4 linked regions of the Tamandua tetradactyla genome follow. Each later gene encodes a partner of the first gene's protein in a complex. Links are inferred from orthologs where the notes say so. Each region holds a gene or a part of one and is shown on either strand. Other genes may lie near its edges.

The links.
Region 2: the proteins of RHO (region 1) and SAG are in contact, whole or in part, in a crystal structure (PDB 4PXF), measured with the Bos taurus proteins. The link is inferred for Tamandua tetradactyla from reciprocal best matches to the Homo sapiens genes RHO and SAG. Residues at the interface, in NP_001014890.1 of Bos taurus: Arg135, Val138, Val139, Lys141, Leu226, Glu249, Val250, Met253, Met309, Asn310, Lys311, Gln312; in XP_010802144.1 of Bos taurus: Asp71, Ile72, Met75, Gly76, Leu77.
Region 3: the proteins of RHO (region 1) and GRK1 are in contact, whole or in part, in a cryo-EM structure (PDB 7MT8), measured with the Bos taurus proteins. The link is inferred for Tamandua tetradactyla from reciprocal best matches to the Homo sapiens genes RHO and GRK1. Residues at the interface, in NP_001014890.1 of Bos taurus: Lys66, Lys67, Arg69, Thr70, Arg135, Val137, Val138, Val139, Lys141, Ser144, Asn145, Phe146, Arg147, Phe148, Glu150, His152, Leu226, Thr229, Val230, Ala233, Gln236, Gln237, Glu239, Thr243, Ala246, Val250, Met257, Ile305, Tyr306, Met309; in NP_776598.1 of Bos taurus: Leu6, Glu7, Thr8, Val9, Val10, Ser13, Ala14, Ile16, Ala17, Ala18, Arg19, Gly20, Asp23, Ala24, Glu184, Asp185, Trp186, Phe187, Leu188, Asp189, Phe190, Val192, Arg195, Glu200, Gln205, Met206, Lys207, Lys221, Arg222, Thr256.
Region 4: the proteins of RHO (region 1) and GNAT3 are in contact, whole or in part, in a crystal structure (PDB 4A4M), measured with the Bos taurus proteins. The link is inferred for Tamandua tetradactyla from reciprocal best matches to the Homo sapiens genes RHO and GNAT3. Residues at the interface, in NP_001014890.1 of Bos taurus: Leu72, Arg135, Val138, Val139, Lys141, Thr229, Val230, Ala233, Thr242, Thr243, Lys245, Ala246, Glu249, Val250, Asn310, Lys311, Gln312; in NP_001103452.1 of Bos taurus: Ile344, Asn347, Leu348, Lys349, Asp350, Cys351, Gly352, Leu353, Phe354.

Annotation. Positions count from the first base shown.
Region 1 is NC_135335.1:35,766,576-35,774,057, forward strand, and holds the start of RHO (rhodopsin), read right to left. Parts: upstream 3,004-7,482; coding exon 2,643-3,003; intron 984-2,642; coding exon 815-983; intron 1-814. UniProt on the Homo sapiens protein: Photoreceptor required for image-forming vision at low light intensity. Required for photoreceptor cell viability after birth.
Region 2 is NC_135329.1:209,372,701-209,379,952, reverse strand, and holds the start of SAG (S-arrestin), read right to left. Parts: upstream 3,009-7,252; coding exon 2,934-3,008; intron 1-2,933. UniProt on the Homo sapiens protein: Binds to photoactivated, phosphorylated RHO and terminates RHO signaling via G-proteins by competing with G-proteins for the same binding site on RHO. May play a role in preventing light-dependent degeneration of retinal photoreceptor cells.
Region 3 is NC_135330.1:184,470,484-184,478,003, reverse strand, and holds the start of GRK1 (rhodopsin kinase GRK1), read right to left. Parts: upstream 3,019-7,520; coding exon 2,320-3,018; intron 302-2,319; coding exon 174-301; intron 1-173. UniProt on the Homo sapiens protein: Retina-specific kinase involved in the signal turnoff via phosphorylation of rhodopsin (RHO), the G protein- coupled receptor that initiates the phototransduction cascade.
Region 4 is NC_135327.1:137,177,361-137,185,055, reverse strand, and holds the start of GNAT3 (guanine nucleotide-binding protein G(t) subunit alpha-3), read right to left. Parts: upstream 3,005-7,695; coding exon 2,887-3,004; intron 1-2,886. UniProt on the Homo sapiens protein: Guanine nucleotide-binding protein (G protein) alpha subunit playing a prominent role in bitter and sweet taste transduction as well as in umami (monosodium glutamate, monopotassium glutamate, and inosine monophosphate) taste transduction.

The sequences.
Region 1 (7,482 bases):
GGAGTCTCACTCTAGGAACTGGGTAAGGGTGGTTTCTCTAGGCCCTCTGAGCAGCTCTGGAAAGCAGGAGGCCCCTGGGGCATGTGTTTCGGCCTTTTCAATAATTCTGAGCATGGTGACATTGGAATGACACCAGAAAACCTAGGGCATCTGCTGGCTGAGCCTATGGAGGATGTAAGGGTGCCAGACTGGAGAAGACAAGGAAAGAGGAGGTGGAGATGGGCTGGAGTTTAGCCAGAGCTGAGAAATTGACTCCAGGAAGGGTGAGAGAGGATGAAAGGGAGGCAAGAATGGGATTTTCCCCAAAGCATGGGGAAATGTGGCCTCAGGAGCCACTTCTTTGACCACAAGCCCTAGAGTCATGGTTGTCCAAACTGGTGGCCCCCATCTCGCCCCCGTATGGAGACGGCAGCCTGGAGTGGACCCCATCCCGATCACAGTGTCACCATCTGCACTGAGATGTTTTGGCCTCACTGGTGTTGAGGACCAAGGTCAGAAGGAGCTGCCCATGAGGCCCTGGGCCAAAGAGGATTGCACTTGGCCCGGGGCTTAACTGGGGATTAGGGGCACCACCAAGGTGAAGCCTTGGGGCACCTTAGATTCTCCTTGACACAGGGACTCGGGTACCGGGACCAGTCCTCAAGGCAGCCTGGGGGTCCTCAGGCTTTCCTCCCCCTGCCCAAATCCCTATCCTGGGAGAGAGTTGCCAGGGCAGGCACTTGAGGCAGAGGATATCAAAGCTCGGTGTCTGGAACCAGACCACCTGGGTCTGAAGTCTGGCTGGGGACCCTTCCCTTCTGCTCAGTCCCATTACCTGGACCATCCAACGAGCGGGGGTGCAGCACAGGCCAGGGCCATGACCCACGTGAACGCGACGCCCATGATGGCATGGTTCTCCCCGAAGCGGAAGTTGCTCATGGGCTTACACACCACCACGTACCTCTCGATGGCCAGGACCACCAAGGACCACAGGGCAATTTCACCTGCAAGGCAGCCAGCCAAATTGGTCAGGGCACCACCTATCTGGACCCCACATACCAGTCTGGGGAGGGAGCACTCCTCTCAGGTGGGGAGCACACCTCCCAAGCAGGGAGCATTCATCCCAAATATGGGAGCACTCATCCATGTTTGGGAGCACTCCCAGAAAGATAAACTGAAGCAGGTAGAAGTCTGGACACTGAGAAGAGGAGGGAAGGGGAGGCGGGTGGGGAGGGGGTGGTGGGACCCAGCATGCCAAGAAGGAGTGAGCAGAGCAAATTCAGACACTGTGGAGCCCTTTAGGGAGGTTTAACAGAAGACCACGTCCTTCATGGGGCAAAAGGCAGGGTTCTTTAGTAGAAGGAGTGTAGAGGTGCAGGCTCCCAGTGTAGAGGTGAAGGACACCCCCTTCCCTATCTCTTGCATAGTAGCCTACCCCTTATAGGAAACTGAAATAACCTAAGCATGAGGACCCTCTCCTAGGTGCCATAAAGGATTGGGTAACACTTTTCCCAGAGGAAGAATGAAATAACTTCTTCATTCATGTCACCCCAGGAGCTCAATAGGTAGGGTGGCCGTTTAACTCATCAACTGAACTGGGACATTTCCGAGCATGAAAGGAAACACCACGAACGACTGACTATTCCAAGACGCTTGTAAACTGGAACTGACGCTGCAGAGGGGTGCCCACCTGCCTGGGGGCCCTCTGTCCCGCCCCCATCTTCTGATCCTAGTGAGGGTCAGAGATGAGCATTGAAGGTGACAAACATTCCGACGGTGGCCAGAGCCTGAGAAGAGGGGCAGGCGGCATGCCGGCTGCATGAGGGACAGGCAAAGCAAGGTGGGCAGGGTCATCCCCACCCAACACCCTGGCTTTGTAGCATCTTACCTCTCGCATCCCCTGCTTGCCTGGGCGACATTCCTGACTCAAGACCAGGAAACTGAGGCTCTGCCCTGCCCAGTCTCGTGCCCCTTTCCACACCTCACTTGTCTCATCTGCTAAGTAGATTCCATCATCCCTGCAGGACCCCCGCCAGTTTCCAGTCAAATGAAAGAAAATATTCAAAAGTACCTTTTAAAAGTACAGATTGTCACCCAATTCTAAGGCCCGCCTATGAAAGGGGTTGCTTCAGGTGATGAGCTTCCCGACACAAAAAGCATGTAAGCAAGGCAGAGAGTTTGGTGGGGGGCCCAAGAATCAATGGGCTGGGAAGGGAGTCAGATTACAGGCCAGGGGAGGACTAAGTCTGGCCACCCCTAGCCCCCGGGGTCTGGTGAAGGTGTTCCGAGGGAAGCACAAGGCTTGGTACTCAGAAAACGGCCCGCAGAGCTGCGGAGATGTGGAATCCAGTCTCAGCTCTGCTCCCCACCCCACCCCCGTCCCCGTGTAGACTTCCTCAAGGCTTGACTTGTCCCTGACCCTAGGTTTCTCTGCTGTAAAAAATGCGGCAATTAGCCCCAATGCCAATGAAATAAAGACTGTTGGGTGGCTGTCTTTGTCGTCAGGCAGCCCGGCTTTATCCCTAACAGCTTTTATTGATTGGGTAAACGAGAGCCTCGGCTCATGGTCGGAGAAGACCTCTCTCAGCCGCCACCCCGTGGCCCGAGACGGCCCCAGGGTCCGCTCCCCACCCCTCACCCCGCTGGGGCACCCCGGCCCTTACCGCCTAGGGTGGCAAAGAAGCCCTCCAGATTGCAGCCCGTGGGCCCGAAGATGAAGTAGCCGTGCAGGGAGGTGTAGAGGGTGGTGGTGAAGCCGCCGAAGACCATGAAGAGGTCGGCAATGGCCAGGTTGAGCAGGATGTAGTTGAGGGGCGTGCGCAACTTCTTGTGCTGGATGGTGACATAGAGCGTGAGGAAGTTGATGGGGAAGCCGAGCACGATGAGCAGGAACATGTAGGCGGCCAGCATGGAGAACTGCCACGGCTCGGCCAGGTAGTACTGCGGGTGCTCGAAGGGGCTGCGCACCACGCCGCTCTTGTTGGAGAAGGGCACGTAGAAGTTGGGGCCCTCGGTCCCGTTCATGGCGGCGGCGGCCCAGGAATGCAGCTGAGGCCCGAGCTCGGCCACCCAGGGCTCCGGCTGGACAGCCTCCGGCTTCTGACACCCGCCCCCCCACCCCCCAGGCCCTGATAAAGTGACCTCCCCCCCCCCCACGCTCCGGGCTGAGTCAGCACCTGGGAGATCGGGGCTGTTATTAAGCATATTAATAATCCCCGCACCACCACGGGAGCCTAATTGGCTTCCGAGGTTGGGGTTCCAAGGTGACACCAGGCAGAAGCCTTGGGGTGCGGAGGGGAGGGGCTGGGGGCCTGGGAAAGGGAAACAGGGCCTCCCCTGCCGGCTTGTCTGTCCCTCTGATGGCTCTGGACTGGGTCCCAGGGGACCTTTGGAGCCCCTGCCCGTTTCTCCCTGGCTTGGTGTGAGCTGAGTTCGAGTCTCTCCCTCGCCTGTCCCTTCCTTCCTTCAGTTGCTGCACGGTTCCCCTCTTCCCTGGGCCCTGGCACCAGCTTACCTCAGCAGATTGGGAGCGTGGTGAGGGCAGAAGCTACAGCCTGCCAGCTGTGATGCCCCCAGGGCCAAATGCACAGGAGTTTGTGAAGGCTTTGTTGCATTGAATTGGAATCCACTCACCCATCACTTGATCATTAAACATTTACGTGGTACACAGCGTGGGAAAGGAATGGCCCTGCCTGGAGGGGCTCACAGACCAGGGAGGGCTTGAATGGGGAGAAAATCGGTTGCAGCCCAAGGGGGGTGTGTGTGAGGCCATGGGCACTGGAGGAGGCAGTCAGGGGAGGCCGCGCTTGGGTTCTTGAGGGCCGGGGAGTGGTTAGCTAGATTGCCAAAGGGGCATGCCTGTGCGCAGAGAGGGCTAAGCAGAGGCCTGGGGGCCATACAGGAGCTGAGGGGCAGGGGAAGGGTTGGGGCCAGCTCTGATGGCCCTCGAATGCCAACCCCAAAACTGACTTTATCCGGAGGGCAATGGGGAGTGGGCTGGGCAAATCTGAGGGCTGAGCGAAAGGAGGCTTGAATGCCCAGCACACATGACTTGGAGGGAGTCAGGGCGGATGAGGGGACCAGGAGGGGGTGCCGGAGCTGTGGGGAGGGCACAGGGCCCCTCAGGCATGGTGCTGTGTGCCACAGTCCCAGCAGTGGACGGGGCAGTCTGAGGGCTGCTCCCGGGTGGGGGGTGCACTGTGGAGTGGGGAGAGAATGAGCTTCAGGGACGGACAACTTGGGGGCTGAAGGTGGCAAGTCACCATTTCTCCTTGTTCATAAAAGAGGCGGGTGGTAACACCAGCCAGGAACGTCATGCCAGTTAGATGAGGGACCAATGTGGGGCTCCCGGCAGGCCCCAGCATGTGTGTGTGTATGTGTTGGGGGGTGGGTGTATTTTTATCTTTTCTTTTGTGCATGGCCCAGGAAGCGAACCCGGGTCTCCCACATGACCATGTGGAAGACAAGCATTCTACCACTGAACCACCCGTGAATCCTATGGGAGGGTATTTGACAAATGTTTATCAAGTGCCTACTCTGTTTCAGGGAGACCCAGCAGGGATCAAGCAAGCCCGGCCCTCAGGAGGTTTGCATTTTAGTGGGGGGCCATGAGGAGGCCACAAATAAGTCAGGGAACCAATAAAATTAGGAAATGCTCAGAGAATAACAAGAAAATAAAGCAGAGGCCCTGTAAAGACTCCCCCACCCTTCCACGCGCTGTTTTATAGTGAATAGCTGGGGAAGGTCTACCCCGGAGAGGGCAAGTTTGAGCTGAGAGCTAAACGATGGATGGAGCCAGCATGCTGAGACGGGGGAGCGGGAGGTGGCCAGGCAGAGGAAACCCCACGTCCGAAGGCCCCACGGCAGGAATTGAGCCGGCCAGGGTGAGTGTCCCTGTCCCTAGGCCACCCTCCCCGAAGCCCTCTCACCCGCTCTCTCTTCCCTCCCTGGGACTCCTCCCTCCTCTCTGCTCAGAACAGGGCATCTCCCTTCCCTCCAGCCCACCCAGGCCTGCAGAGGCCTCCCTCATCCGGGCAAGTCGGTGGCCTCCAGGGCTTGTTCCACAGGTGGGTTTGGTGGAATGAGTGCAGCGCGTGGGGTGCCGACCTCCCCCCCGGGGGGAAGGTGATTAGGCCCAGCGCTAATGAGGTCAAAGTGGAAGGTTTGATTCTGATGTGGACCCCGCAGGGTGGGGAGGTGTGAGGGACAGAGGATGAAGGCCTGCCCGGATTTCCCGGGCCCAACCTCCCAGCCTCACGCCAGCCCTCCAGGATCTCAGCACCCAGCTGGGCTCCTTCCTAATGCGCGTGGCGGTTTGGAAGCATTATTTCTGTTCCGCCCATGTGTCTCTTGTGCATCTCCCAGGCTGAGCTCCACCAGGGCCAGCCTGGGTCTGTCTCGTTCACGAGGGGATCCCCAGAGTCCTGTGTGGTGCCTGGCATGGGGCAGGAGCCTCGTGAATATTTTTCCCCACCACTGGAAAGAGATTTGTCTCTTTTGGTCACCTTTGTATCTCCAAAGGCTGGCACATGGTAGGTGTTCAATAAATATTTTTGGATGGGTACACCAAGTCTCGGTTTCTTCCTCTGTAAGAGCATTTACTAGTCCCAACCTCGAGAGGCTATGGGGAGGATTAAAGGCCAAACACGGAAGTAACAGGTGCTCTGTATTCTGCAAAGTATGTTAAAGGACTTTTTTTTTAAATAAAAAATGCTCTTCTTTCTGAGAACAGGCTCCCAGAATGAGCTGGAAGTGTTATTAGAGGTCACTTCTCTGAGCCTCCCGGCTACATCCCACGGTGAGTTGTTGGGTCCCCTGATGCCCCTTCAGTCCATCCTGGTGGCTTTATGAGGCATCCTTGGGCCTGCTCATGCCTCCCCTCTCCCCGACCTGAGCCCCTGATCAAAGATAGCGCTCGGGGACAGATCTGCCAGCTATTCACACTATGGTATAAATGACTACAACAGAACCCAGCTGGGGTGATGGAAAAGGCCCAAAGGCTGGACAGACAGGCCTGGGGCGGACAAATGTCTCTGAGTGACCCTGAGACCCTGTTTCCTCTCTGTTGGCCTCAGTTGGCTGTGACTAGGAAACCTCTGAGCATCCTCACCCACCCACAGGCAGGGCGAGCCTAACCTGCTTTCCTGCTGCCCCACCAGTGCCAGGTTAGGGACGTACACACCTTACAATTAAGGCCTTCTGTCCTCCCCACACCGAGTGTCCTCTGGAAACATGCTGGCATCTGAACTAAGGTTTGGAGATGAGACATAGGCCATGTACCTGGCTTTGGCTCAGCCCCTTCCCTTCCCCTGCCTCAGTTTCCTAGTCTGTAAAATGGGAATAATAATAGCACCTCCCTTGCAGGACTGTTTGCAGTGCTTGGTAAGTACTTGATGAATGTTAGGTGATGCTGTTGTCTCACTGAATCTCCTTGTCTCAGCTCACAGAACACGTCTTTGGAAAGGCCTCTTTTGACCACCCTAAAACCAGCCTCCCCACCTGATCATATTCTGTTTTCTACATGATACTAATTGCCATCAGCAGTTGACTTTCTTATTTTTTGTCTGTCTCCTCTTGGCTGCCCATCTTATTCTAGAATCAGGGCTAGCCCAGCCTGATCACTGCTGCACTGCCAGCTTCCAGCCAACTGAGTGCTCACAAATGTTTGTTGAATGAATGAATAAACATGCCTGGCCCTTGAGAGGTGGGGTCATGCCCTCTGACCACTAAGGTTGATCTCCTCAGCTGGAACTTATCCGAGACAGTTCTGACCCCAAAGCCTGAGCTCTTTCATTTCCCCGGGGTAGGAAGTCCAGAGAGGGGTCCCTGGGCACATTGTTGGCTGAGCCCAGAAACCCAGGCTGGGAGCATGACGAGCTGGGAGAGGTGGGGACCGGGCTCCCCAGGAGGTGGCTGTCTCTGAGCACTTTGCAGGCTTCCCCGAGCCCTGGCACCTTGGGGGGGCCCCAGGTGTGGGGCTCTGACACCGCCCGTGGAGGATTAGGGGCTTAGCTGCAGGCACGCAAATAGCTCTTAAGCCCAGCCTGAAAGGTGCTGCTGGGTCAGCAGCCACCTCCTCCTCCTCGTTTCCCTCCCGTGGCTGAGCCCCACCTGCCTCCATTGTCAAGGCTGAGTTAGGGAGTGAGCTGGAGAGTTAAGGGGGCAATAAAGGAAGGAGAGGAAACTTCTCTCCTACCCTCCTTCCCTTTCTAATCTCAACATCTGCCAAACACCATCTGCAGGTCAGGCCCTGGGCTGGGCAATGGGGACTCTGTGATGAGTCCAACACAGTCCCTTTCCTGGAGGGGCTTCCAGTCTCAGGGGACAGTGGACAAGGGGAAAATAATAACTGTGAGGAGTGGCATTTGCTCCCAGCCCTGAGGCTGTGGGAGCCCCGAGGAGCCAGGGGCAGACGTGAAGGGAGCCAGAAGAGCTCCCCAGAGTGGCTGGCCTGGGAGAAGAGCTTCTGGGCAGTAGAGACAGACCAGGCCGAGGCCCAGAGGG
Region 2 (7,252 bases), on another chromosome or scaffold:
TTTCAGGAGGTGAAAGCAACGAAACCCAGGAGTGAAGGGCCAGCAGACGCTGGCCATGTGCCTTCCCGTGTGACACAGGTGTCCCAGATGCCATTAGCCTGTCTTCAGAGTCCAGGTATCATCTTATCAATGCCTTAATTTGGACATTTTCATGGCCTAAGAACTGTACAATGTAAGTTAATAAATCCCTATTGTAAAAGCCAACCCATTTCTGGTATATTGCATTCCAGCAGCTTTAGCAAACCAAAACAGGAGGGGAGAAGGTTGAGAGAATGGGTGTTTACTTTGTTTTTAAGATGCTTTGATTGTGAAAAAAAAGAGAGATAGGAGATTGCTGCGAAGAGGATAGGGTCAGGGAATGTTTTTGTTCTTGTTTTCATGCTCAGAGAAGAGAGGGAGAGAGAGAGGTTAATAACAAGTCCAGACAGAGAGGGGCTGATAGCTGAGGACCCAAGGAGCTATTTGGCCATGAGACCAGGGTGAAATCAAGTGGTGAACCTCAGGTGGGAGCAAGAACACCTCTTCTGCTGTAATCAGAAGGGAAGAAGGACAGAAGCAGGTATAGAAGGGGGACTGGATCATGTGAGACCAGAGATGACCTTGCTGGTTGTCCCCTTAGAGCCATACTCCCCTTCTTCCTGGACAGCAGCTACCAATTGAATTCAGGTTCTACCATCCTCCATGTGTTGTGTGCTAAAAGGAGTTAGACCCAGGGTGTGATTCCTGATTGGCCTGATCCAACTATGACCATCTAATTCCTTTTGCTTGGAATTGGTTTAGGGCGGGCATGTGTCCTGGTCTGAATCTATTATGTACCCCATAAAAGGCCATGTTCTCTTAATCCATCCCTGTTGGGCAGACCTATTGCTGGGTAAGACCTATGATTAGGTTGTTCCCCTGGAGATGTGACCCAAGACATTCAGGGTGAGTCTTAATCCCCTTGTTGGAGTCCTCTATGAGAGGATAAAAGACAGATGAAACTCAGAGAGCAGAGAGAAGCTAAGGAAAAAAATCCAGAGAAAAGCTCCAGAGGAGAGAGAGTGAGCCATTGAAACCAAAGGAGGAGAGAAGGACCAGCAGATATTGCCACGTGCCTTCCCATGTGACAGAACACCTGATGCCGGCAGACTTTCCTCTGAAAATGTATCTTCCTTTTGACGCCTTAATCTGGACATTTTCATGGCCTTAGAACTGTACATTTGTAACCTAGTAAATCCCCTTTGTAAAAACCAACCCATTTCTGGTAGGTTACATTCCAGCAGCTTTAGCAAATCAAAACAGCATGTGACCCAGTTTTGGTCAATGAAATATAACAGAAGGTCTGCTGTGGGCTTCTGGGAAAGGTTTCTTCATTCTTAAAAAGAAACCCCTGGGAGCAAAAGAGACTTCCTTCTTCTGGATATTGCCAAGTGAGGAGAGATGCGTGGAGCTGGGGCAACCATCTTGCTATCAGCCTGAGGACAAAGAAGAGTGCAGAGTGGAGAGAACCACAGGGAAAGCGGCCCAGGGCCCGGGTAAGCCATGTGTGGTGCCATACATAGATTGCAGCTGATTGATCCTAATACCAAGAGTAGTCGGTGTGACCATAACACAAGACATTAAATTGATGAATTATTTTCTACCTCCTGTGACTACTGATATGCAAAAAAATTGCAAAGTACTCCATTCAAAGGATGTCTAACTATGCGCGAGGAAAAAAATGAAGAAACAAAGAGGACCAGCAGAAGTGATTGTCTTTCCTCTTCTGCCAGAAGTCAAAGTGATGTGGGCTGTTGAAAATCACAAGCTGGAAAAAGACTCTGGAGAACGAAAGGCATGGGGCACCCAATATGTCACCCATAGAATCAGAGGACTTGATGGAAATGGTGGAATGGCCCAGCTAGGACAGAAGAGGAAAGCAGGAGGGTGTCTGCGTGAAGCCTGGCTCTCCTGTGTGCACAACAAGGGTCAGAGAGTTTCCTTTAGGCCCAGTGTTGCTTTAGAAGTCAGCTGGAAGAACGATCTAGACCTGTACTGTCCAACACGGTAGCTGCTAGTCAGTTGTGGCTCAGAATATGGCTAGTCCAAATTGAGAAGTGCTGGGAGTATGAAATACACACCAGTTTCAATGACTTATAAGGATAAAATAAGGTAAAACATATCATCAATAATTTCTATGCAATTTATATGTTGAAATGATCACTTTTGGATATATTGAATTAAATAAAATATAGTATTAAAGGAAATGTTGTCTGTTCCTTCTTACCTTTTCTAGAGATTTTTAATTATACATGAGGCTTGTATCGTATTTCCATAGAACAGCACTGAGCTAGACTGTCGGCCCCCATGAAGCTGGCAAGTAGAGCCAGGATCTTGTCACAGAGGACCCTCACCGCTTTGGTGGATTGCAACTGTGCCTCCATCAGGCTTCCCACGCCAGGAAGCCAATGGACACTCCTAGACTATCTAACGTGCCCCTGATGGAACCAACAATGGATGGTTACCAGGGCCTCGGTGGCAGGACAGCCACAGTGCAGGGGTGGTGCACAGGTAGGGAGCATCTGTGCTGGCCTCACTTGTCCAGGCACTGAAGGCTCAGCTGAGGCTTGAGACTGGGCAGCTGGGGAAGGCAGGGCATCGCATTGATCTGCATGAGGCTCTCCCCAGGCAGGTGAGATGATAGACAAAGAGCAGGGTGAGTTTCAAGTACTGACAGGACCCTGTTTGGAATGGGTTCAAAGCTGGCTAGGAAAAGAAGTAAATGTGAAGGTTGGGGTGGGGACTGACAGACTGGGGAGAAATGAAGGGTCAAAGGACCATACAGTATTGATGAGATTAAAGAGAAGATGTGAACAGGGTTTTGGTGTTAATCATGTCTATTTTTGAAAAGGCTCCATTTAGTTATATTTTGTACAGTAATTACCATCATCCCCACTCCCTCCTGTACCACTTACCGATTTGTCCCTGGAGATCTTCTTGAAGATAACGTGATTTTGGCTAGACTTACTCGTCTTCATGCTGCCTGCCATGGTACCTGGCCCTGGCAACTTCTTTCACCTTGAGGGTATGTGTCAGGTGATAGTGTGCTGGGAAAAGGTAAAGAGATCCTAAATATAAACCCAATCATGAGTTGTTGCCCATCATTGGGCATATCCTTCTACCTGCCTCAAAACCCATGTTTGACTGAATTAAGGTCTTGATTTAGTTTTTAAACATTTAATGCAGTGTGCTTTTTTAAAAAGTGTTTTATACATTCTTTTTTGATAAGCCTGAAACATTTCATGGTAAATCTCTCCAGGAATCTTTGGCAATGAGGTAGAAAAAGTTCCTGACACCCGCCACATGATCACATTACAGATATGGTTTTCAAAATATATTCAATCCACAAGAGTTCTACTCAGCAATGCATGCTAAGCAACACTTCCCTTTTCCTGCTGTCTCTTTCTCCATTCCCCAGTCCTATAGACAATTAAGAGACAGTCATAGCTGTCTGGGGTTAAATGCACTCAGCGTATCTTTAACAAGTCAAGTCCCATGGAAACTGGAAGAGAATGACCATGTGAAACTGTCCATTAGGACGTCCACTTGCCTTTCCTTGACCCCACCCCCACCAAGGGTTCTGGGAAGGTTTAGACAAGGGTTATCTTATACCTTATGGTTTGTCAGCAAACAATGGGATGGACTCCGGTGAGAGGTGGAGAAAGTGTCCCTGTGGCCTCCACCGATGAGCAGCTAGCCCCTGCTTCTGAATGAGCTGGCTCTATTTATCCAACTGACCCCACCCCGAGATGCACTGAGGTGTCTGGCTGATGTGCACAGGGGATTTGTAGTGGATCTTGAGACAATGACGAGCTCCAGGGACTCAGCGTTCAGAAACCAAATCCCACTTAAGGAGCAGAATGGCAATTAGATTAACCTCAAGATGGTTGAATTGGTCATTTCAGCAGTTCTTAGCCTTAAGTGAGGTGAGTCTCCTTGCGGAGGATCTTGCAGACACATGCGCTGTCAAACCAGCCTGGGGAAGGTGCTGTGGGAGGGACAGCAGCTCAATGAAAGCTACTTTTTATACTAAACCTCTTTGGGTTCTGGAAATAGACTGGTTATCCCTTTATTCCCAGGTATCACCAGGACAGGGGATTTTCAAGTGCTTAACAAACTTAATTAAACTTGGCAGGCAGCTAATGCAACCTTGAGGTTGGGGACACAGAAGGGTCAAGGAGAAATGTCAGCCTCAAGATGAACCCTGGTACTGTGCAAGCCAAGCTGGATACACCTTTGCTCCACCAGCAGCCTATCCAGCTGGCATGGACTATCCATGTCCCTGATGCCTCTGCAGCCTGTCTTCATCGTCCCATCTCTACCCAGTCCTCCTGAGTCCAGGCCCCTCTGTTGACCGTAGTGTCCTGACTTCTGACTACAGACATCTCTCTCCCTCCAGGCCATTCTCCATGTAAGGGCAACACTTCCAGGCCTGAGCCCACTCCTATCACCCTCCTGCCTAGACTTTTCCAGTGGTTCCCCACTGCTCTCAGGACACAGCAGCAAGCCTCAACTCCTCATGCCCTTCCTTACCTGCCTTTCCACGTTGTCCTACTCTACACTCTCTACCTGGAGCAATCTTCTTCTCATTTACTCTTTACCCTTCAGCTCTTGACTCGGGAATCACTTCCTCAGGGAGCCTTCCCAACTTCCTGGACTAGGTTAGAAGCCAGTTGCATTTGACTCGGTGATTATTTTATGGTCTCTTTCCTTACTTGACTCTGTGCTGCCTGAGAATAGGAGCCCTTGTCGTTTTTGTTTCTCTCATCTTTTATTCCCATGGCCTGGAACAATGCCTGGCTCCCAAGGGCACTCAGGGAATGAATGGACAAGAGCTGCAGCCACTAACATGTGGATGAACTGAACTTGACCTGCTGTCTGTGGATAGAGCAAGTGAAAGCAGAGCATCTGTTCTGAGCCTTGGGGTGCCAGCACCTATCCAAACCCTACTCACCTGAGTCAGGGCTGTGTCCGTGAGGCCGTGCACAACCCGGCTCCCCTGGACCTCTGACCTCATTTCTCCCCTCTCTAGCCCTCGTCCACTTTGCTCCAGTTCACTGCCGTTTTTTTGTCTAAACATGCCAGGCATACTCCTGCCTCAGGGTCTTTGCTTTTGCTACTTTCTTTTCTGGAGTACTCTTCCCACACATAGCCACATGATTTACTCCCTTAATTCCTTTAGTTCTTTACTTCATTGTAACCTTTCCAGCAAGAATATCTCTGGTCACTCTATCCATTATTGCAAATCACCTACCCAAACCCTTTTCTCTCCCTTTACTGCATTACTTTTCTCTGTAGCACTCATAACCATCTAACATACAAGATAGTTTACTTATTCAGCTTGTTTACTGTTTGTCCCCCTTCCTCAAATGCAAGTTCCAGGAGTATACAGGTTTTTTGTTTTATACCTGCTTCATTTCCAGCTTCTAGAACTGGGGTCCTAACAGATGTTGACTGAATCAGTGAGTTATTGAGCTACAACAGTACAACCACCTAAAAATTGGGGGAAACTTCTTTTTAATCGATAAAACTTTTCTTTACAAAATGCCAGCTAATAAATGTAAAAGAAATGACAGAATTAGAAAAACATCACTTGAGAAACCTTGGTGAAATTGTCAACACAGACAAGGATTATTCATTGGTGTTAAAATCATTAGGCGAAGAGTTGATGGGGAAATGGCTGTTTCTACATCACATGGATTACTTTCTCATCGCAAGGTGGAATCCTAACTGCACAAACTATCAAGCCTTTAGACATCACTTCTAGTTTTATGGAAAGTGTAGAGCATAGAGAGCTACCAGACAAATTCGTAAAGAGGCTAGTGTCTTCCATAATCAGTGATACAGAAAAGGGACTGTCCTAGACTAAAAGACACCGATGAGACTCAACATCCAGATGCAATTTGTGGTCCCAGATTGGATGCCCAGTTGGACAAACAGCATGCATAGGACACTTTGGGCCAAGTGAGTGTCAGTGAAGTGAAATTATTGGGATAGAATTTATTGAATAATTTATAGAAATTATTGGGACTGAAAACAGGTGGTTGTGGAACAGTATGTGTGGTATGATCACATTTTGGTAAACATATACACATGCACATGTGCTATATATACACATATACATATATGTCTTAGACACCCTGCTGTTAAAATAAATACCACACAATGAGTTGGTTTAACAATGGGAATTTATTGGCTCATGGTTTCAGAGACTGGAAGGCTTGCTTCCTCCCTGGGTTGGTAGCGTTCTGGCCAGCTGGCATCCTTGGGGTCCTTGGCTGTCCCATCACATGATGTCCTCTCCTTTCTCTTCTGGGTTCCACTGACTTCTAGCTTCTGGCTCCTTCTCATGGCTTTATTCCTATGATACCTCCATAACAGGATTAAGACCCACCCTGATTCAGTTGGCCACACCTTAACTAAAACTAACATCTTCAAAAGATTCTATTTACAGTGTGTTCATACCCACAGAAGTAGGGTTAATTACAAACATGTTTTATTCTGGGTAATCCAACCTATCACAATATATATGCATGTTTACATACAAATGCATAATCTGCAAGGAGCTAACTTTGGGGTCTCTGTGTGGTGAGAAAATAAAGCTTCAAGTATTTTTTTAAAAATTTCCTTGCCTGTAAATTTCATAAATTTCCAATCTTCTTCGATAATCACGTATTACACTGATGACAACAGAAAGGTTAAAATATAAAACTGTTATACATTTAAACATATATCTGGATTGTGAGAAGAAGGCAAAGTAGAAAGCTCCAGGAATCAGTCTCTCTATCAAAACAACTATTGAGCTGGCAGGAACTATCTGAATGAACTATTTTGAAACTGTGGAGTTTATTGGAATATTGGGCAGTATCCAGGGAAGAGCTGGAGGAAGAGGCTGGGAAATCGTGAAAAATACTAGTGAATTTCACCATCTATACAGCAGCTACTATCCCCTATCTCCTAGCCGTGTGGCAGACAGCAGTGGGGACTGCAGCGCAGACTCCTGATGCAACTTGCTGGTGCCAGGATTCCTCTAAGGACCTAGTCCTCCAAAATCAGGGAGAGGGGTGTGTGTGATCAGATCACTAATCACCGCTTTTGATCAGCTATTTCAGTTCACTGGGAGCCAGCTCTGAGGACAGCCATTGTTCAAATCCGCTCAAGCAAAGGCAACACAGAAGTCTTAAAGAGACAGAATCTATTTTTTCTCTCTAGTCTCTTCATTCCCCTCATGGAA
Region 3 (7,520 bases), on another chromosome or scaffold:
TCAGGCCTGGGGCCCCTCCGATGGCACATCCTGAACGGCGCAAGCTCTGCCTGAGTGGGCAGCAGGCCTGGCCGGGCCCCAGAGATCCTCTTACCAAGCTTGGCCTGTGGGGCTCACTCCATCCCAGGTGACAGCCAGGACACCCTCCCCCTTCTGGGGAAGGTTCCATTTACCTTATGTCGCCTCCATTCATGAGGGTCATCACCAGACACAGGTCAGTTTTGGTTTCAAACGCATAGGCCAGAGAGACTATAAACCTGCTATGGAGTTTCGCTAGAATCTTCTTTTCTACCATGGCACCCTGAAAAGCAAGATGTTGAGTAAGTATCCAGGTTTAGGGGGAAAATTGCCATCCCCATAAAAGGTCAAGTTCCACAAGACAAGAAAGCCTCCTTTAGGCCATGTGCTCTGCAGTGCTGCCTACTGAGTAGCAAGCACAACAAAATAGAAACATGGCTGGAGATTTTTTTTTAAATACTTTGCAAATAACTGATAAACAGTGTCACTTTCTTTTTCACAGACAGAAAACCTGACATGCGAAATTCATGAATGAGCAGAAGACTTCCCCAGGTCTTCTGAATCAGTTTCCAGGCAAGGCAATGCTCAAATATAGCAGTTTTTAAAAATATCCTATTAAGATCCCACCTCCTCCCCTGGCAGCTCTAAATGTCTCTAAATGTATCTGCTTTCCCTTACAGTTCTTCCTTATGTCTAACCACCTTGTCTTGCTGCAATCTCTGCTCCTTTCCTCCTGTTCAGGGATCTGTGGAGTTGGAGAACAATTGTACAGTGCCCTTCCAAACCACCTCACATCTCCATTTAGTTTTTTATCTCTATTTTGATACCTCATCCTGTTTCACTGTTCTTAAAAGCTGGGTTTAGAAAAAGAAAGCAGATTCCTTTTTGCAGAAGGAATTCTTCATGTTGAAGGAGGCTCCTTTCCACCTAGAATTCAATGGAAGTACTTTGTGTTCAACAACGATACTGAACTCAGGGGATTAAAATTACAGTTAAATAAGTAGGAGGGATAATTACTTCCACTCCAAGCCCCACAGTGAGAGCGCTGTAGATTTGTCTGGATACCTTCATTCAACTGGTTGCCACAGGCATCTGACCTTTAACCTTTAGCTAATGGGCCTAAATCACAGGTGTGCCTAGCCTACTGTCAAGACGACCCCTAGCTGGCGGATGCTTGGGGTGGCTGCTGTTTAACCCTAAACACCTTGTCTGCCCTCAACACTGTCTGTGCCGTGCAACTCAAAAGGGAAAGAGAAGCTTATGGAGCAGAAAGTGCAGCTGGGGAGGCTACTTCAGGAGATGCCGACCTAAGGCATTTTAATCAGCTTTCCCTGATCCTGCCCTAAATGGACATTCTGACGCCAGTTAGGAAAAGAGGATAAAACTTAGGACAACCTGAATGTGCCTTCCCTATACTCCCATTCCCTGTGCATTCAGGAAAAACAAAAACAAAAGCAAAAATCCTCACCCCTGTGTTAGGGAGGGGCTCTGCCTCTGTAAACATGTCAATCAAAGTGATATTTGATTGACCCAAATCCTGCCACAATTTCTTGTGCATTCTCCATCACCTTATAAGCTAGAGCTTTAGGGAGAGTCTTTCAGAAAGCCAGGATAGAGCATCTGGAACACCAATCCCCTAAGTAACCTTTCCCTATAAGACACTGTTTCTCCTAAACTTGCTATTGTATTTCAGTGGTGTTGGTAAAAACAAAGACGATCAAATGCAGAACATCAGCCACACCAAAACATAATAATCATCATCATAATAAATTTTAAAAATGCTAAGATCGGTTTCTGAACAGAGAAATCTGCAAATCCCCTGTCCATGTTCCAAGCCCAAGGTTAGTTATTAAAAGCAGCTGGGCAAGTTGAATCACAGACCTGGGAGGGAATTTAGAGGTCATACACTTTGCATCCTCCTTGCCCCACATTGTGGCTGGAAAACAGCAGGCTGCAATGCCACCAAAAAAAAAAAATGTTTAAAGGGACTAATTTTGATGTGTGATATTTAAACGTGGTATATGAGTAAACACTGATGGACTAGAAGTCTAGCCAACGATTGCACAACTGAAGAGGGTTTGGATGTTCAAAGGGCAAGGTTACCATCCTTTCCAAGGCAAGGTTGCCTTCTACCTCGGGCATGAAAGCCAGCTAAGGGGGCCCTGTTTGGAGACACGGGACACAGATTCGTCCTCTAGGCTCTAATCTAAATGCTGACACTTCCCAGCCCCACCCTGCCCTGCCCCGGGAATCTAAAAGCCATTTACTTTGCACTTGCTGTGAACTACCACGGCTGCTTACTTGGTACCCCTTCCTTTTCTTCAGCCTCTTCTTATTCAGTTTTTTACAGGCATACAACTTGCCAGTGGCCTTCATCTGGCAGACTGACACCTCCCCAAATCCCCCTTTCCCCAGAATCCTGAAGTCAAGAAACCAGTCCTCCCCCAGGGGCTGGGCCTCCAGCCACTTCCACTGGAGGAACCGCTGGAAGTACAGACTGCCCAGGTACCCCTGGAAAGGGGCTTGGCTCAGGTGCGCCAGGGTGGCGTCGAGGAGGGGCTGGAAGAGCCCGTCCTGCACGGCCGCGTGCCCCTCCTTGACCTTGGCCGTCATTGCCTCATCCAGAAAGCGGCAGAACAGTTTGGCCTGGGGGTCCAAGTACTTGGCCAGGATGGCCTGGGCCTTCTGCAGCCGGAGGTCATCATCTGTCGTGTCGTAGTCCTCGATGTCCTTCCAGAGCTCCAAGGCCGGCTCGTGCCTCTCCTCCGTCTTTAGGAACTGCTGGAAGAGCCGCTTGCCGATGGGCTGCTCGCAGCACACACTTTCAAACTCGAGGCTGAGGCCCCCGCGGAGGGCCTCGCACTTGGAGAGGGGGGGCAGCCTGAGCTTGGCCAGGTACTTCCTGTCCCGGGGGGCCTGCGCGCTGCTCCCGTCGAAACTGCAGCGCGCCGCGATGAAGGCAGAATTGGCCACCACGGTCTCCAAGGACCCAAAATCCATCCTGGCGGCGTCCCGCGTCCGCCTCAGGCATGAGAAGCCCCGGCCGGCGCCGGGCCCTAGAGCGCGCCTTCAGGTGGGGACTGACCCGTCGCCGCCCTTGGCCTGCTGCGCCCTTGCTGCCCTCGTGGGGACAGGGCAGGCGTCCCGGCGGCGCGGCGCAGCCTGGAGGAGCCGCTGGCGAGTGTCCGCAGCCCCAGGGCCCGACGCCGCGGCTGGCTAAGCCCGGGCCCCCGGGCTGTGACGGCGGGGAGCCGAGTTAGAGGTGACCGGCCAGCGCCGGACAAAGACAATCCCCCTAAGCCACCTCCTAAACGGATTAGACCGATAATTCAACTCCGCGCTCTTTCCTCCGGCCCCATGTCTTTTCTCTGCAATCAACGCCCGTGCTCCCTGCGCGCCCCGTGCTCCCTGCGCGCCCCGCGCTGAGGAATTCCGAGCCGCACATTCCTTCTGAGTTGCTCTTGGGTTCGACCCTCTGAAACAAACGGGGGTGGGGTGGGACGCCTCTGCCTGTCTCCTGGCTGGAAGGACGCGGGGCTACAAGGTCTTTCCAGAAACTTGAGGTCTGCAGAGAGGCCCTAAGACACAGCCCAAATGTGAAGGGGAGGAGGGAGGCCCCAGGGACAAAGCTTAAGTCGCTAAAGATGGCTGCTGTTTTTTTTTTCCCCCCAGGCTGTACTTCATTCTTATCCTTAAAACAAAAAAAAGAAGGACGCGCATGAGAAGAAAACAACCTGATAGCAAGAATTTAATGAGAGAGAAAAAATGGACGATGAAAAGCTGCTGCCTATGTCCTGGGGTGAAAGCGCCGACCCAGCTAGGTTCTACTTCCTACCAGTGTAGGAGGGCTGAGATTCCTCTCGACCTGACACCTGATTTTAAATTAGCCAAGAGAGCAGTGTGGTTGACCACGTGTTTCCTTGAACTGATCTGCAGATTAAAAAGTCCTGTAGTGGGCGCAGGTACTGGCTGAGGAATCCCGCTCAGCCTCGTTTTTCTTCTTCTCATGTCAGCATTTTTCCTCTTCTCATTGCTGGCGGGGCAGAATTGCCAGGAGAAATGTTCAGATGAGATTTGGTCGGAGAGGCAGGGGACGTGGGGGCCTCTAGCAAGGGTCTGAGACCCTGTGCAGAGATAGCAGGTGTGTCTGAAGGAATGAAGAGCTGGGGACAAAGCTGGGGACGCTGCCACAGAACAGAATGCCAGGGGCCCGAGGGCAAGACCACGTCTGTCCTGTTGCCACTGTGTCCGCAGCACCTAGTACATAATGGGTGCGCAGTAGCTTGTGGATGAATGATGAGGAAGTGAATAGAGGATCTAATACAGCTTAAAGAGAGGAGGTAGTGGTGAGTCTCAGAAACAAAGGATGCCTGAGCTGGAAGGGCTCAGGAGGCCGTCTAGCCCAGCCCCACCTCAAATCAGTCATAGGAAAGGAGGAACCAGGAGGACAACGGGATTCCTTAAGGGTGGGGGGGAGCAAGGGAAGACAGGTGGGATCCTCTATCACAATTGGAAAAATGTAAACGAGAACGTGCTGTGCTGAGAGGTCATGACCCCACTCCTAACAAAGGAGGTTTAAGGCAGGTGGATTGAGTGAGTAAATATTTGAAGCTGATATTGTTACATTATTCCCCCAGGAGACCTATGCTTGTCCCAGCCTTGCTACCTGAGAGCAGGTGACCTTGGGCCAATCACTCTGAGATTCAGTTTTCCCTAGGAAACTTCCTGTCGGCCCCATTAGGTTTGGAACGGGACGGTGGTTTTCCCGGTGCTTTGGAAAATGTCACCCTACACCAGTGATTCCCAAAATATGTTCCAAGTCAATATTTCTCAAACTTGAACATGCAGATGAATCCACCTGGAGATCTTGTTAAAATGAAGATCCTGCTTCAGTGGCTCTGGGGTAGGGACCAACATTCTGTATTTCGAACAAGTTCACGGGTGACATGGATGCAGCTGGCCCAGGATGGTGCTGTGTGTAGCAAGGATCTAAGGAACCCAAATTCCTGGATTAACATGAAGATTTACCCTGGGGAAGGGGGCTGTTCCTCGCTTAAATGGCGTGGGAAACATTAGACTGAAGAAAATTTAACCATGTTTCTTTATTGCAGGACTTATTCAGAGATTCGAGAATGAACATGGTTCTCTAAGAGAAGTAAAGTATGCAGTGTTTCCCAACTTATTTGACTCTGGAATCCCCCACCTTTTTTTTCATTAAGTTTTTTATTTTGAGATAATTGTGGGTTTATGCAATTGTAAGATGGTTGGGAGAGAGTCCGTGTACCCACTACCTCGCTACTCCAACGAGAACATCTTGCAAACCAGTCGGACAGTGTCACTGCCAAGACATTGACATGGACCACGACCTCAGGGGCCCCTTTTGCTGCTCTTTTACAGCCAGGCCCACTTCCCCCTCCCTGGTCCCCTCCCCTCTTTAATTCCTGGCAACCACTAAATCTGTTCTCCATATCCATAATGTTAAAATAAATGCAATGAATCTACAGCATGTAACCTTTTGGGATTGGCTTTTTTCCCCTTCAGTGTAATTCTCTGGTGCTTTATCCAAGTTGTTGCATTTTTATTGTAGTAGTGTGCTAACGTGTGGATGTATGGCAGTCTGTTTAACCACGCACCCTATAGAACATTTTCTACTTCTTGATATTACAAATAAGGCTGCTTTGAGCATTCATGTACAGGTTTTTATATGAACATAAGTCTTCATTTCTCTGGGATAAACGCCCAGGTGTGCAACTCCTGGTCATATATGACAGCTGCATGTCTAGTTTTTTAAGAAACTGTCAAACTGACTTCCAGAGGGGTTGTTGCATTTTATGTTCCTACCAACAATGTATGAGTAATCCAGTTTCTTCACGTCATCGCTAGCATTTGGTGTTCTATTTTTTTAAATACTTTTTTACTGACAAATGTTTACACAAATATAGAGAAATGCAATTGATTTTTAGGTGCTTCCCTGTGACCTTGCTGAATACACTTAGCTGGAAGAGCTTTTTGGTAGACTCCTTGAGATTGTCTAACATACAATCAACGGCTCACAATATCATCACGTGGTATTCTATTTTTTATTTCAGCCATTCTGATAGGCGTGTAGTTATATTTCATGGTTTTCATTTGCATTAAATGCCTAATGAGATGAACATCTTCTCATGTGCTTCTTTGCCATTGGAATATTCTCTCTGGTAAAATGTCTCTTCATGTTTTTTTGCTCATGTCCTAACTGGATCATTTGCTTTTTACTGAGTTTTGATAGTTCTTCATTCTGCTGCTGTGTCCATTCATTAAGCTTTTAATTTTGATAATTTTATTTTTCAGCTCTAACATTTCCAGTTTGTTCTTTTTCATATCTCCAATTTCTCTGCTGAGACTTTTCATTTCTTTACTGAGGCTTTCTGGTTTGTTTATTTTCAAGCATCTTCATAATTGCTTGTTGAAGCCTTTTTGCCATGGCTGCTTTAAAATCTTTGCCAGATAATTTTAACATCTCTCTCATTCTCTGTGTTCATACTTATTGTCTTTTTTGTGGTTGTTCAGTTTGAGATCTTGTTTCTTGAGTGACTTTTTACTGACACTTGTGCATCTTCATGTTATTATGTGAGACACAAGATCTTATTTAAACCTTCTGTTTAGTTGGTTTTCCTTGACACCACTCTGCCAGGGGTATAGGGAGCACTGCCCTGCTGCTGCCAGGTAGAGGAAAAAGTCCAGGTTCCATATTTGACACCCTTGATGCACAAGGCAGGGAGCTCCTCACTGCTGCTGGGGAGGACTGGGAGTTCTGGCTCCCCACGTTCTCCACTGTGAGGGAGCCTTGTTACCGCTGGACAATGCTGAAAGTCCTGGGTCCCCACCAGGCTTCCTGTGACACCACGTAGGTGGGAAGGCAAAGAGCTGCCTTGTCGCTGCCATGTGGAGGTAGAAGTACGGGTTCCCCACATTGTTGGAAACCCATTTTTATGAAGCATCTAGTCTTACTTTTTCTGAGCACGCTTTGGGAGAAATGTCCTCTAACAATGTCACTCTCCCTATCTCTCCTCCCTACAAGCACCTGCCTATAAAAGGTCATTTTGATTACAGATGTACAGTTCAACACATACGTGCATTCTCCTGCAAATTCAGAGACTAACTGGGAAAGACTAAGTTCAAAGACATTCAGAGAGAATTCATATTTTGCTCATTTTGACAGCATCTCTATAGTTTAAGAACCAAAGTAATGCATCTATTCTTCAGAGAGTGGTTGCCACACAAATGTATCTTCAGACTGCTTGCATTCTGTGATCTAGCCTCACACCCTGTGTGAGAATTATTGTTAAAATCATGAAATTGTAGATGGAACAACTGGCAAGGAAAAGTGGGTAGGATTCCTCTATTAAGAAATCACGAGGGTGCACAGGTGGCTCAGTGGTAGAATGCTCGCCTTCCATGCGGGAGACCCAGGTTTGATTCCTGGACCATCCACCAAAAGGAAAAAAAAAGATTATGAGAGT
Region 4 (7,695 bases), on another chromosome or scaffold:
AACACAAAATAAAAAATAAAAACTATTATTGGAGGAAGGAAAGAAAGGTTTTAAATTGGGATCAGTAAAATACTGTAAACAACTGAAAGTGTTATTCAAGAGTGTGCTCTATATATTGTTTGCAAGATTCTTCTCTTATCACTGGTGATCAGAAAGAAGCCATACTTCCTATGGGGCTGCAAATCTAATCCAGTTCTTATAATGCAAATTTGCAAAACTACAAAGAGAAGAAGTGCCATAAAATAAGAAATAAATCAGAAGCTGAAATTTGAAGTAAAAGACATAAAAGAGAGGAGACATAAGAAAAACAGAAATTGACATGCTGAATCCCTCCATAATTAATGATAGGTATTTCTTTTGAATAAAAAAGTTTTAGTCAAATATTATTTATAAATAAAGACTCAAATAACTACCTTAGGAAGTCTACAAAGTAGAATTTTGTTTTCTTATTAAACTGTAATCTTTTCTGTGGCATGTTTACAGGCTCACTTTTTTTTTTTAAGCACATGGTATTATTGTCTTGAAAGCAGCTATCAAATGCTTTTTACTTGCATCAGCTCCAGTATTTTCTAGAAGCCTACTTTTTGCTAAAGAAACAGTTTTAGCACTGTTCTGTAATTTTAATTAAGGTCTGAAAGGCATAATAAAAAAGAAATCTGTCTGCAAGGTGATTCTTTCATTGTAAAGTAGCACTTTTATAGTTCTTCAGATTTAGGGAAATCTTGTGTCCAATATTTCAAATGGTACAACAAGTTCACGGTATATATTAGACTTGTAACACTGGTGTTAGGTGTTTAAGGACTTAGACATTCACCAAATAATAAGAACAGATTCAAAATGAGGAATTAATTCTGTTAAAAGCAATCTTTAGATTTTTTATTTTTTGTGAGACTCAGAATCGGATTTCAAACGGTTAGTCTCACATGATACATGCGCATTAATAAACTTTGAAAACTCTGGTTCAGACCACACTAATGAATACCATTGCTTCAATGATGAGACAAATTAAATAGTCTTCGTTGGCAGAGGGGTACTGGCTGTGTAGTGTTTGGAAGGTTTTGTTTAGTACCATGGATATCTTTGCTGTCATTATGTGGCCAAAATGAATATAAAAATTAACTTTTAGAGAACTTTAGTTCCATTTGAAAATGTGAACTAAAGAAGAGATATTGAAAGACCTTTTGATTTGAATTTAGCAATTGAATCATGACAGAATTCAGAGTCCATAAGGGATAACTAAAATGTTTGGATTGTAATTGAAACAAGAAAAACTTAAGAGAATTTTAATCGTTTTGAAGCAATAAAGAAGTGATAGGAAGATTCAGTGCACATAGTGTTGGAATAAAATAAATACAAGCATGTTTTATGGCAATGAAGAACTGAATGCAGGAAATCACGATTGTCTTGGAAAAGTCAAAATTGTAATTGTACTGTTAATGATTCTTTTATACTTCTGTACAAAATTTACTCTCTCCCAGATTCAACCCAGCACTAATTGGATTTAAAATCAATTGGCATATTGAAAAAGTAGGTCTATTTTCTGAAATTTTATACAAACATAGGGAATTTTTAAATGAATTTTATCAACACTCTTATGCCAGTGTTCTTAGTACAAGAAATACATGAAATGCTTTTATAAGAATGTTTCATTTTCCTTCCCACCTTTTCTTTTCTTTTTCTATGCCTGAATTACTTCCACTCTTGATCAAAAACCTCAGCCAATACTTTGGAATCTTATACTGGTTTTATAAGTGCTCACCCAACATCCTTCTGTCACCAACCTCTAGGCGGTTACTTGAAAGTGCAGTTTCATGGGTGCAGCCACAGAACTTGTGTCTAAAGGAACAGAGAAGTCTCTTGCCTTTGAGGAGCTGGGAACCTCACAGCTGATTTATGAGACTCCTGATACTGGTAGCAAATTAAACGTAGTAAAGGAAAAATTTAAAACAAAAAACCAAGACATTTTGTTGTGTGAAGGAGTCACAATTTTGAAATGAAATAAAGGCCTTTTTTTTTTGTATAAGAACAGAGAACACCCACAACTGTGACTAAATTAAAGTTCTTGTTTTGTATTATTTTTATAGGTCTTTATTTTTATTGAAAAACATTTCTGCTTTCAGTGTGACCTTCTATGTGTTAAATTTTTAAGTTTAGAAGGATGTGTAGCATGGAGGTTATTTTCGTTCTTTCATGTCATTGAATATTTATTGAAGTCATAGCTGTGGTAAAGCAGCATGCTGAGTTTTGAGGGAATTAAAATATAAGAGAGAAACATTTTCTATTCTGAATAAATATACAAATGTCCTATAAGAACACAAATTGTGTGTAATTGAGCTATATAGGCAAGATCATGGGCAGTATTCAGGAGACTGAATACCATTATTAATACATTGAAAGTACTTTATCATATCCTTAAATTGGTTGAGACCAGTTGATTTTAATAGCACAAGTAAGTGAATAGCGTATTAACTTTGATGTCAAATAACGCAATATATTTGTGTTCACACAAAATATCATAGATCTTTATGACATAATTAAAGTGTTTTTTCTATATTAAAAAGTTGAAAATGACTAGGGTGCTATAAAATAATAAATGTGCTTGTTTCTTCCAATAATATTAAATTATATTATTGACATCAGGAAATAGAGTCATCTAATAAATATTTGACTTTCTGAGTAATAAGGACATGAAATAAAATACTAAACAGAAAAATATGTTATTAAGTATTTATAGAGGGCATGTAAAGTCTATTCAAGGTCCCAAACGCATTTTTATAATATATCTCCCATATAATAGTAAATTGAAATTAAATTTTGAGAAGTAAATACATCACAATTGAAAAAAAATCAGTGTTTTAAAAGTAAAAGGAAGAAAATATATATTACCTAATAGCAGTAACTTGACAGTTCTTGCATCTCGCGCAGCATCTTCCTGAAGCTTTTTCTCCAGTTCTTTTGACCTTTTGGCTGACTCTTTACTCTCTGAACTAATTCCGCTCCCCATCTTGTGATGTTAGACACTCATCAGTTATTTGTTCAAACTTTCCCAAATCAATGCTTAGGTGTGGACAAAGGATGCAAAAGCAATGTTTTGCTGAAGTACCCAACAGTCCATTCTCTTGGCCTTTAAAATTCTGCTTTGACTAAGGAAACACTTACTGATCTGTCACCTGATCAAGAGGCTAAACCCTACAATCCTGATGGAAACTGCAGAGGAAATTCATTATGCTTTCAAATTAAATGGCCACAGCTGGCACATTTTTTTCAAAACCTGCTTGCCTTCTTAAAGAATAACATGAAATAATACAGATGGTGGCAAAAAATCTTTCAAGATTATCTACAATGAGCAATTCAAACAGAATATTTCTCACGAATAGCTCTCTTTGCTACTCTGATTAAGTTATGATTACTATTAAAAAATGTTTGCTGCTTATCTTCAAATTTTTGAGTCACCAAATTCCTCATAATCATTCCTACATCACAATCAATATTCATATTAAATTATCCAAGTCTTATTCTTCTCTTTGTGCTTAGATTCAGATCACATACCCTTATGTTTAGACTATTAGCAATGGAAATGTTTTACTGTCAGTTAACTATAAAACAAACATTTCTGAAGAGCAAGAATAAATAAATATAGCTCATATTTATTCTTGTATTGTCAAAAAATAGAATTCACCATATACCTCTGTTAAATGATTGATTTTAATCTCAAAGGTTCTATCTCTATAAATTGAGCTTTTACTGCCTTTGAGAAAGTCAATCCATCAACATTAATTGAGGGCCCACTTGGTGTAGGTACTGAATTGTGTTCAATTTAGATAGTGCATTAACTCTTTGGGGCCATTAAGCAATAATTGCCAGCTGGAAGGAAATTTATAGATTTGGTACCAAGGGAAGGAAAAGCAATGATCCTTGAAATATTGGGTAATTCAATTATTCCTAAAAGTAAGAACAGTGAGTAGTCCTTTATATGTTCCACGCTACCCCATTAGATATTATGTACTTCTTAACGATCTATAGACTTGAGGGCAGTGAGTGTGTCTATATGGCTTATTTATGTGCAGCACAAAGGTCTTCATCGGTTTCAATCAATGTCTTCCTTATAAACAGAGCTAGCTACTTGTGGCTATAGTAGGCAAGTCTTTCATTGCATATTTTCAGACTTTTTGCTAGAAAATGCTGGAATACAGAGTCAGTCCATCAGCTTGTCAGTGCTGCTCTTCTCATGGGAGCACCTGCAAAATTTGAACAGGTGAGTTTTTGCATAATCATACAGCAAGGAAATAGGCTGCCAGGTTATATACATATTCCTGCTTTGTTTACTTTTTAACATAAAAATAGTAGGTTACAGATACATAAGCATAGTCAAAACTTTGTGTATCTCATCTCTCCAAAGCCATGTTATGATAGCATTAATAGTGGAAAGACAGGTACATAATGATTTATGCAAATCCTGTGACACTGCTTTTACGTTGCAAAGGGCCTGTCTCCAATGGAAGAGACTGATACCAGCCTAGTTTATTTATAGTCACCCAAGAACAGAGAGTCCACTCTGAAAGCCACATAAGAGAGCACAAATAATAAAACAATCTCTTTTTGCCCATTGCCTTAGTATCTATATTGATACTAGTACCTGAATATATAGGATTTTTATGTGCTCCCTAGCAAGAAAGGACCAACAGGATACTTCATATAAATTTTCATTCAAGTAAATACCCCATCCATGGCTTTTTGGTGGAAACATACCCTGGCTCTGATGGGGTATGCATTTTGCTAAGACTTCCTATGTTGCTTACGGACTCAAACTGATCAACTCCTTTGGGAATAGAAGTTTACATTTTTCTGCATTGTATGCAAATAATGAACTCCTAATTTTCCATGTAACCTAGAATGTCAGCAGCAAGTTTATGAGATTTTATGTTACACGTTTTCAATCCGTGACTAAAGTCTTTTTGACATAAAATTCAAGGTGCATCTGTGTTTAGGGCAGGGAGGAAGGGAAGAGCTGGAGAGTAGAGGAAGCTGGTTCCTCAGCCATCTCCCCTGGGTGCCCAGAACACAGAACCACTAATGAGCTGGGGCTTTTAATACAGCCATTAGCCCATGTTGCTTCACTCAGGGGTTCAATGTTCTGGACCTAATGAAGTGATAAAAATCAAAATTTTAAATTCTACTAGAGTAGGGACAAAATCTTACTAGCTTGGATGTTGTCCATAGTATTTGTCACAGGACTAGCCATAGGGAATGGTTAAAAAGTGACTTTTAGCCACATAATGGAGAGCTGCTGTCACCTCTGCTGAGGGGAATGTGTGGTTAGGCTTTTTTGCCAAAGCCCAAGATCATGATTGTGCTATGTGGGTACACTGGAAATTTTAGAGCATCTTGAACAAACACTGAAAAGTCTCAATTTTAGTCTATAATAGTGCCGCTATTTACAATTGCAGCTGTTAGTCCAACATTTACACTTTTTTTCTCAACTTTAAAAGTAATAGCAACACACTCCCTTTTAAATAAAACAAATAGTTAAAACTTGCTCCACATTGAGGGAAAATTGATAGACGATAACAGAAAAGTAAACTAAATTAGATGTTTTTTATTTGGTGAAAAATACAGCCATGGTTTTTATTTGTTCTCGAAAACAACAAAAGAATAACATAGAGCTATTCAGTAAACATCAATAGCATTATTAGAGTTATAAACATTGGCCAGCTAAGAGAGAAAACTGTTCTGTGTACACACACACACACACACACACACCCATGTCATGCACGCACCCAGAAAGCAAGAGAAATTGCATTGGAGGGCTACTGTCTTCTAGAATCATCATTAAAAATAACTTTTAAGAATCTTATTTACTTTGCATTACAGCATCAGGTATCTGCTTTCGGCAGTAGTACAAGAAAGAAAGTGGGGTTGGGGTTGAATACAGAGTGAGGCCTCCTCTCTAAAAGTCACTGAAACACCACAAGCCTGAACGATATGAATATTTTCCTCTTGCTGTTTTGGTCAAGGTCTCTGAGGAATCTTTGGAAATCTTTTTTTCCACATGGGCAGGCACCTGGAATCGAACCCGGGTCTCTGGCATGGCAGGCAAGAATTCTGCCATTGAGCCACCATTGCACCATCCAGGTATTAGCTTTTCAGAAATTGGAATAATTACTATTTCACATTTAAAATTCAGCATCAAGCTGGAAGTGACACGTGGTTATTTGCCACCTACTTTTAACATTGAGATTTCAACCTATTTTATTGGACAGACCTCTTTTGCCAGCATTACTTGGGCTTCTACAGTCCTCAAGCAGGATTTTCCCTGGGATTGTTTACGTGGCTGACTTCAGTGAGATGCTTCCATGACTTAGCTCCTGTTGGAGATTTTGTCAAGATTGACTGCCATCTGTAATATTCTGTATTTTTTTTCTATATCTTACAGGAGGTGTTGACTTTAGGTGTTAGGTCCCTGGGTGATTTGAGTCCTGGCTGCCTTAGCAATGACCTTTATCCTTGTATATTCCCATGAAATTTGAGGCAAACTAACCTTCTTTGCTACTGGTACTCAAATTTGACTTCTGGGAGCCCTGAGCATGGTATTTCCTCTGGAGAGTTCATGCCTTTTGGGGCTTCCAAAGAACGGCCTTTTGATCTTGCGGGAAAAAGCCATGGCTTGCTGTTTCAAGTTAGTACATTCAGACGTTGCAATACATCGCCAGCAGCTCTAAAGAATAAAAAGTAATAAAAAACATGTTTTTATTCGTTGGAGGTGATTCCACCTTTACCCCCTCTACATTCTTCTTTCTATGAATTAAGATATGATTGTGCATAATAAAGGTTGGAAATTGAGTCACAATTGTTTCCCAAGGTACTCTTCCTATCCCAAATTTTCCATTACTTTTAAGAAGTTTTTGCATGTCTCTTTTTAATGCAATTTTATTGGGCTATATTCATATACCATATAATCATCCAAAGTGTACAATCATTGGTTCACAGTGTCATCATATGGTGGTGCATTCATCACCACAATCAACTGTTGAACATTTTCTTTACTCCAGAACAATAAAAATAAGAAAGAACACCCAAATCATTCCATACCTCTTACTCTCCCTCATTAATTTATTTTTTATTTTCATTTTCTTATTCATCTACCCATATGCTGGATAAAAGGAGGATCAGTCACAAGGTTTTCACAATCACTTGGTCACACCGTTTGCATGACCCTTTACCACATTTCCATTTCTAGCTTCCTTAACCTAATTTTCACTTGCTATAGTCCAGATTATTTCAACAGACTCTTGCTTAGATTTCCTGATACTCAGCTCTGCCTTCCTTGTCCATGTCCAGCCTGTCTAATCATGACAGACTAAATTCATTCAAATACTGATTTAGTCATTATACTTCCTTCCTGCAAAACAAATAGCTCCCAACTAATTAGTGCCTCCTATCTTGATACTCTCTTGTCGTATACTCAGTAATTCAGTTAGCACCACCCAACTATCCAAACATATTTCCCATTACCCTCCTCATACGTTCTCTACCTTAGCCAGGCTAACGTCCTTCATAATAGGCATCACTTCTTAGCTTTCAGCCATGCTTTTTTTTTTTTTTTTTTTTACATTACTGGAAATGTCTTGTTCTTCCCCAGGTAACTTTTTGCACTGTACCCATTCTTTAAGAGACTCTAGAACTTATCATCCCCGT